Linked DNA regions of Schizosaccharomyces pombe. The gene in region 1 interacts genetically with each later gene. Each region holds a gene or a part of one and is shown on either strand. Other genes may lie near its edges.

What was found.
Region 2: of trx2 (region 1) and arg3, extra expression of one rescues a mutant of the other (dosage rescue), as found in Schizosaccharomyces pombe (one study listed by BioGRID).

The regions. Positions count from the first base shown.
Region 1 is NC_003423.3:2,316,668-2,320,430, reverse strand, and holds trx2 (thioredoxin Trx2), read left to right. Parts: upstream 1-1,900; 5' UTR 1,901-1,963; coding exon 1,964-2,097; intron 2,098-2,153; exon of another isoform or gene 2,154-2,179; coding exon 2,180-2,447; 3' UTR 2,448-3,022; downstream 3,023-3,763. Other genes in the region: ATP-dependent RNA helicase Spb4, read right to left, coding at 14-48; ubiquitin-like protein modifier for cullin Ned8, read left to right, coding at 175-192, 241-258, 330-442, 493-580; cyclin CycC-like Srb mediator subunit Srb11, read right to left, coding at 3,023-3,230, 3,295-3,661, 3,740-3,763. UniProt on the Schizosaccharomyces pombe protein: Disulfide reductase which serves multiple functions in mitochondria, protecting mitochondrial components against thiol-oxidative damage as a thiol-disulfide oxidoreductase, and supporting urea cycle and respiration in mitochondria in a manner independent of active site thiols.
Region 2 is NC_003424.3:2,271,811-2,276,234, forward strand, and holds arg3 (ornithine carbamoyltransferase Arg3), read left to right. Parts: upstream 1-2,110; 5' UTR 2,111-2,201; coding exon 2,202-3,185; 3' UTR 3,186-3,706; downstream 3,707-4,424. Other genes in the region: arg11 (N-acetyl-gamma-glutamyl-phosphate reductase/acetylglutamate kinase), read right to left, coding at 1-866; cmb1 (cytosine-mismatch-binding protein 1), read right to left, coding at 3,768-4,367. UniProt on the Schizosaccharomyces pombe protein: Ornithine carbamoyltransferase involved in the synthesis of arginine from glutamate via ornithine and the urea cycle.

The DNA.
Region 1 (3,763 bases):
ATTGAAAACTTACAGCCATTTATCTATATTAATACTCTGAAAACTCATTGTCCCCTCTTTGAAGACCAATTCAATTTTTCGCGAGGTGAGCCAGAGGGGAATGCTTATAGGGAGAGAGAGGAACTGCTAGCGTTTAACCACAACAATTTCAGAAAAGCGTTTATAAAAGTTAGCATGCTTATCAAAGTAAAAGTAAGATAAATTTATTTCTTTTTTATGTATACTAATATATAATCATAGACATTGACAGGGAAAGAGGTTCGTGTTTTAAATGTTGAAAACATTTATATGCAGTTATAATTCATCTATGTTTCTAACCAAAATATAAGATCGAATTAGACATTGATCCAAATGACAAGGTTTCTAGGATCAAAGAACGGGTTGAAGAAAAAGAGGGTATCCCTCCTTCACAGCAGCGTCTGATCTACGCTGGAAAGCAAATGTAAGCACTATGGGAACATCCATACAATGATTCTAACAAACATCACGTAGGGCTGATGATAAAAATGCTGAAAGTTATCATTTAGAAGGAGGCAGCGTCTTGCATCTTGTGTTAGCTCTTCGTGGAGGAAGTTGCTAGTTGTTGCATACTTTATTTATAAAGAAAAATTATGTATAAAAAATCATACTTTTATTTAACGCTATAAACGAAATCTTTTTACTGTTTTACTAATACTAAGAGTAACGAAATGAGAATTGAGTCGCTTTATTATTGCTCTGTTTCATTTTATGTGAATCTATTGATTTGTATAAAAATATTGCTTAAGCTTTTCTAAACTTAAGACGTTTTGGTGATCATGAATTTCAGCGATAAGATTGATTACTTCTTGTTAATTTATGAGTAAAGTAGTCGTAAAGAGACGTTTTGCACAGAAAAGTCAATATATAACAACAATTGCTTGCGCATTCCCATCTGATATCAAAGTATATAAAGCAGTAGCATGCGAAGCAAAACTTCCTCAGTACAACATCGAATGTAATTACCATAAACGCAAAATCTCTAGTAAGACTAAAAGAAAATGTTGTTTAAATAAAACTAACTGCAAAATGCTATGTAGCAAAAACATGGGCTGTTGTGGGAATCGAACCCACGACCACCATCACCCTAAGATGGTATCATACCACTAGACCAAACGGCCACATTGATAGGGGTGCCACTTAAACATATATAAAGGAAATATACATGTAAATCTATATAAATTACATTTTTAAGGAGGAAAGTATAATCAATATGCTTATAAATTGCCATTTCAATGTATTGATTCTCATTTTTCTATTTAAGAAGTTTTAAATTTTTTTTGTTTATGAGAAAGTGACATCGGCTTTAAGGAACTGCTCTATTTAAAAGCAAGAGAGATTCATTTAATTATAAATAGTCTGCATAAAGCCAAATTACTATTATAAAAATTAAAAAAAAATGATATTCTTTCTTAATTTCAAATTAATTCTGATAACCGGATTTTCGAAGTTTTATGTAATCTTAAGATTGAAGTACTAGTTTTTATAATCGTGAGTACAAAAAATCCATCCAAAAATCTTTGGGCTGTATATTTAAGAACAAATTAAAGTAACTTTAGTTTAATCAACAAAGGTAAGGATTTATAAACTTCATTAGGTGTTTTTTAAAGTTATTAAAAAAAAAAAAAAAAAAAAAAAAATCTCTCAAATTGTTCGGCTACAGATTTTTTGAAAGCTTCTATTTTCCAATAAGGATTCTAATAAAATATAATAAAGAGGGAAAAATGATGCTAAATTATAATTTTTTTTATTGGTTTCCCAAATTTTTAATCTTTTTTTATTGAATTAATGTTGTAATAATTTAAAAAATATTGTATTAAAGAGTAATGTTTATGATCGCAACTAAGCACTTTTCTCCGCCTGGCGGTAGTTCTAGCTTACTAAGTGCTATAATTTCACCTATTTAAATTTTTGATTAAAACCGTCAACCAAAATTATAATTCAAATGCGTGGATTTATTGCAAACTCTTTAAAGCCGCATATGAGATCTTTTGCTCTGCGCAGAAGTTTTACTAGCTCTCGTATTTTGAGAAAGGTGAACGCAGTTGAATCGTTTGGCGATTACAATACTCGAATTAGGTATGTATAGTCAATAATATATCATAGTAAAAAATAAAAGATAAAACTTTTTCGAATAGATCTCCTTGCTAATTGCTACTAGTGCTGACAAAGTTACCGTCGTTGATTTCTATGCAGACTGGTGCGGTCCTTGCAAATACCTCAAACCGTTTCTTGAAAAATTAAGCGAACAAAATCAGAAAGCATCTTTTATTGCTGTTAATGCAGATAAATTTTCTGATATTGCTCAAAAGAACGGTGTTTATGCCTTGCCTACCATGGTATTGTTTCGTAAGGGTCAAGAATTGGACAGAATCGTCGGCGCTGATGTGAAAACTTTATCTTCTTTGTTGGCAAAATATCAAGAATAGAATATGGGATATTGGTGTCCCCATTCGTAAATTGCTTGATTTACTTTCTCGATTCAATTTGTTGATTGCACTGTATTATGTCAAAACTAGGTTTTAAAAACTTGACACGGCTTATTTTATTTAAGATTTAAGATTTAAGGGTTTTTACTTTATGAATTTCATTATATAATTGCCGGACCAAATTTGCTGAAATCAAAAATATCCTTTCAGAAATACCTAATAGGGGAATGTTCAACTCAATTAACACAGGAAGCTACAAGAATGAGCTATTTTATAACAACGTGAGTATTTCTATGAGGTGATTAAGGAATAATTTTTGAGGTTCATAGATAAAGCATTAATATATCCTTTACGTTTGTGACATAACCATTCGATTTTGGATATTATTACACAGATACTGCTCTATTTATTCATTTAGACATAACACCATGAACGAGAATGCGTATATAATACACGGTTTTAAACCAGACAACAAAACATAATTTCAGGCATTAATCAGCAATAAAGAAAAATCTAATTATAGTTTTCGTTTTTAACAAAATTTGAGGCTCTAAATGTATAGTGTATTCAAGAAGTTATTCAATATCCTCAAAATAATAAATAGAAATTATGCGTTGAACACATAATATAACTTTGAAGGCATCAGTACTCTTTATTAAATCCAAAAGCTTAGGAATTGTATTTTCATCATTGCAACAACTTATTAATAAAGCGGCATACGCAAGTTGATGAGGATGTGCCATTAAACATAAACTGCTGGCATATGAATCGTTAACAATGCTCCTATTTCCTCGATCGTTAGAAAAATCTAATCGACTGTGATTTTCAATATAAGAAGTATACATACCAAGCAAACTCAAGCTGCTTTTGATTGATAATGCCATCATGAAATGCTTGCTCAAGAGAAGTGTAGGGATGGTGAACAATGAGAAATGCATCAAGGACTGAAATGATTTCAAATTCTATTTCGGAAATATTAGAACGACTAAGTTTAACTTTTAGGCTCCAGAGATCATTAGCCTCATTGCAAATTGTGCGAATGTGAACAGGGCATTCTTCCACTTTGCATGATAAATAAATGCATGTAGCCACTAGCGCCTCCAAAGAAAAACCCTTTTCCTCATTTTTTTTTAGCATGTAACGCCTTAATAAAACGATGGCTGTAGCTAAGACACGCTGCCGAAGCCTGAGCCTGTCTCCAAACGTTTGTACAACTAGAATTGTATCAGCAAAACGAAGTGTAAATGAAATCACAAGCTAGAATAAGCCGAAAAAAATTAATGAAAATATACCTTTCCATTGATATATTGTATCTT
Region 2 (4,424 bases), on another chromosome or scaffold:
CCATCGTACTCCCTATCCAAATAGATGCTGCTAATTTTTTTCTTTGTTTCACCGTTGATAAGTCCACCTTTTTCATTGAGATAGACCACCTTTAGAGGCTTCAATACGCGAGCAAGCTCACCAGCAGTAATGTCGGCGTTGACATTCAACAATTGACCAGAAGCAGTTTCGGCCATAGACGTAAGAATAGGGAGGGTTCCAGCACGAATACTGTGTTCAATAGGAGCTTTGTTTACCTTGACAATCTTGCCAACATACTTGTATTTTTCTTTGTCGAGATACTCTGCCTGAAATACACCACCTGTAATGGGACGAGCACGAGTTCCCAACTTTTCCAAAGCATCTACAAGTTTCGCATTTTCCTCTAAGAAAACTTTACGAGCTACAGAAAGAGTCTCGGCATCGGTGATTCGAATACCATCGCTATACTCGGGTTCAACATTTCTGCTGGCAAGAATTTTGTTTAATTGGGGACCAGCGCCATGCACAACGATGGGATAAAGACCCACATGATTCAAAAAGGCAAGACTTTGTGCCAATGTGTCTAATTCGTCGGTGATAATGGCACCACCAACCTTGATAATAGCGAAACGTTGAGCTTCGAAGGAAGTAAAGTATCGTAGGTATTGCTCAACTTCACGACGGCTTCCGATGGAGGAAAGAATTCTAATGATGGCATCACGATCTTGTTCAATTGGTTTCGCGAGTGGGTTTAACGGTTGTTGTTGACCCGGGGCAAAACTGCCTTGAAAACGTTTGCTTGCAATGACTGATGCATTGGAACATAGTAAGCTCCTTTTCGTACAGTGTTTCGCTCCATTCCGTACAAGACCGGACTTGACAATTTGTTGCAATTCAATAAGCATTGCCAAATTCTAGTGATATTCTATGATTTACTGTAGTTGGTAGAAGGCAGTTTGGTTGGTTTCAAAATTGGAAAATCATTTGCTTCGTAAACGTAGCTATAATTCGTTAAAATTTGATTGCTGTATCTAGGGATTTGCTCTGGAGATAATCACTCAAAAAGATGAGATCGATAATGTTACTTGTTGGCTGAAAATTACATCGGAAACCAACAGTTTACATGAAAGTGCTGCAAACGTGAGACATGGACATTTAATGAATTAAAGCTATATAAATGACACTGTAAAAGCAACTCATTTGCCGACAATGAATCTATTTGTATATACATTATTTAATACTAGTCCTAACTGACACAGTACAATATTCATTATTTCTATGCAAGCCAGTTCAATATCTTGATTTATACATGAAAGCATTCTTTTGAAACAATATTTTGTTTTCTATTTGATTTCGCGTTGAATAGTCCCAATGACCCTGATGAGACAAAAGCACTTATCATAAAATTTATTATCTAAGATAATCTCGTTAAAAAAAAAAAAAAAAAAAAAAAAAAAAAAAATTTGGCAAGAAGCCCTTCTCTTTCGTTAAAACTTGTTTCGCTTTATGCAATACTGTAAGTGTAAGCTTGTAATATAGCGAATCTGTGAACTCATTGTTCATTTCATGGTAGTTGTTGATTTCACAAGCATGCTGAGTTATCAATATAGTAACACAATTGGTTTTATTTCAGCTCGCTTGAATATAGTGTCAAGAGATAATTGAATAAACAAAAAAAATAACTACACGTTTTTTAGATACATTTTATTTACAATGTATTGGTTCTTTAAAGAATGGGTGGTAAATAAAAAAAATATTACAAGGTCGAAAAAAATTCATCCCTTTTCATTAGTTCTATAATTAAATGCTAAACCCATGAATATTCTTTTACTGCTAATCAATTAACGATTTTGGTATTTAAAAGCTATTGCTGATAAGTATTCTGACGTTCTGTATCAATATTACCATGAATAACATAAGAAAAAGAAAGGAAATAGAATGTTTATGAGTAGTTTTTAATTTTTGACTTGTTTTATCATATTTCATCAACGTACTAGCTTGTTTGCAACTGAACTCTAGTGTACGATAATGTAAAAATTTTCCATCTCGTCGAAAATCCGCATACGATATATTACGGCGCCAATCTCGCAGTCTGAGAGAGAACTAGATATCGGCTATATGCAATCTCACCCTGAATATCTAAGAAATTACCAGTAACTTGTGGGTTCCTTGTAGTCGACTACAAAAACCGTATTTTTGATATATTTAGTCGAGAAGAATTATTCAGTTTGCAATTGAAAATGTCTTTCAAAAAATTTCCTCGTCATTTACTATCCATTCGTGATCTTAGTCGCGGAGAGATTGTAAAGTTGATCGATCGGTCTTCTGAAATTAAACAAGCTTATAAGCAGAATTTTCAGAATCGCCGTTCTGTTCAAATGAGTGGTTTGTCGTCTCAGAATGTCGCCATGATCTTCAGTAAGCGTAGCACTCGTACTCGTGTATCAGTCGAAAGTGCTGTCAGTTGCCTTGGCGGCAATGCCATGTTTTTAGGTAAAGATGATATCCAATTAGGAGTGAATGAGTCTTTATACGATACTTCAAAAGTTATATCAAGTATGGTTTCTGGTATTGTTGCTCGCGTAAACAAATATTCAGATGTTGCTACGCTCGCTAAACATGCCTCTTGTCCTGTTATTAATGGTCTTTGTGACACGTTTCATCCTCTCCAGGCGTTAGCAGATTTACTCACTATTAAGGAAACTTTCAAAAGCTTTGACGGTTTAAAAGTTGCATGGGTAGGTGATGCCAATAACGTTTTACATGATTTGATGATTGCAAATGCCAAGGTTGGTATTCATACTAGCGTTGCTAAGCCCAAGGACGTCAACGTTCGCGACGATATTTTATCAATCGTTAACGAAGCTGCGAACGAAAACGGTTCTACTTTTGAAATTGTTAACGACCCCAAGGTTGCTGTTAAAAATGCTGATATCGTCGTTACCGACACTTGGATTTCTATGGGTCAAGAAGCTGAGAAGGAACAACGTCTTAAACAATTTACAGGATTCCAAGTCACCGGAGAGATCATGAAGCTTGCCAAACCTAGCTGCAAATTCATGCATTGTTTACCCCGTCATCCCGAGGAAGTGTCTGACGAGGTATTTTATGGAGAGAACAGTTTAGTTTTCCAAGAAGCAGAGAACCGCAAATGGACCACTGTTGCTGTCTTGGAGGCTTTGCTTGTCAACCGTGGTGAAATTCTTCCTCCTGCCTCAGCCTAAACTGAAATCCTTAATTTCATTTTTATCTGGGGAATGTGCAAACAATGCCAACTTTATAATTTTTTTTATTGGGCGTGCAAATTGTGATATTCATTTTTGAAATTTTATGTACTTTGTTTCACAAAAAGAAAATTGACTTTTGAGAAAATTTTTTAATTGACAATTACTTTTCAGATTTTTTATGCGCAGGACACAGGCTTCTAAAGACGTACTTATACGTTAAAAAAGGGGATGGATCAATTTGGCTCATTAGTCCAACAAGCTTTGTGTAAAATTATTACCCGCTTAATGCTATCCTCTTAACTAGATATTTCAAGGTATCAAGCAATCATAGTATTAAGCACTATTATATGCAAAATACAATTTAAAATTAATAGAAACTACAAATAAGCGCAACACTCATAAGGAAAAAGCTTTGGGACAATAAAGCTTTCGTCAATGCGGAATCTACGACAGAAAGAAAACTTAGTGTAGGCATCGAAATTTATTATATTTCAAGCATGTATGCTAGTAAAATAAAACGTAAACTCATTGATTCAAGAAATCTATAGAAAAAAAAGATCTGGGCAAGTAGAGTGTGCATCATCGAAATCCGGCTTCTTTCATAAACTTATCGTATTGCTCTTTAAGTGCTTTGCTTTTATCAATAAATGGCTTTTTCTTGTCTTCCGCCAATTCCTTCCACGCCTTTGATGCATTTTGGGTCTCTTCAACGAGTGTGGAAATGGCTTCTGGAATACCTAACTCTTGACGTAGCTTGGGATTGTTTCGAAGCTCCTTGTAAAAGAGGATAAAAGCAGAAGAAGGTTTTTTAGGAACATCTGGATGACGAAGTCTGTAATAGCGACTGCCCGTGCTGTGAGCCTCCTTCGAGCGACGACGATTTTCACTATCGATTTCTGTAGGTGTAAAGGATCGTAGAGTCTCCATAAAACGCTTTTTCTCAGCATCGAACTGCTCCTGGAGTTTGTTTTTATACTTTTGGATCTCATCGGCAGTCAAAGCTTTGTATTTTTGACGAATCATCTCAAAGCGCTCAGGACCATTACCAGCACCTTTTGTTTCAACCAACATTTGATTCCAAATGGTTTTCAGCCTAGGGGGGATCAACTTCTGTAATCCATTCTTTTCGGCAGAAACGAGAGTAGTGTGAAACTGGCGTATTCTAATTGCAAATACCATTTTGTGAAAAATGATCAAAGATAATGGTGCTTGGTAAGTTAGGTAAGGAGGCATTGC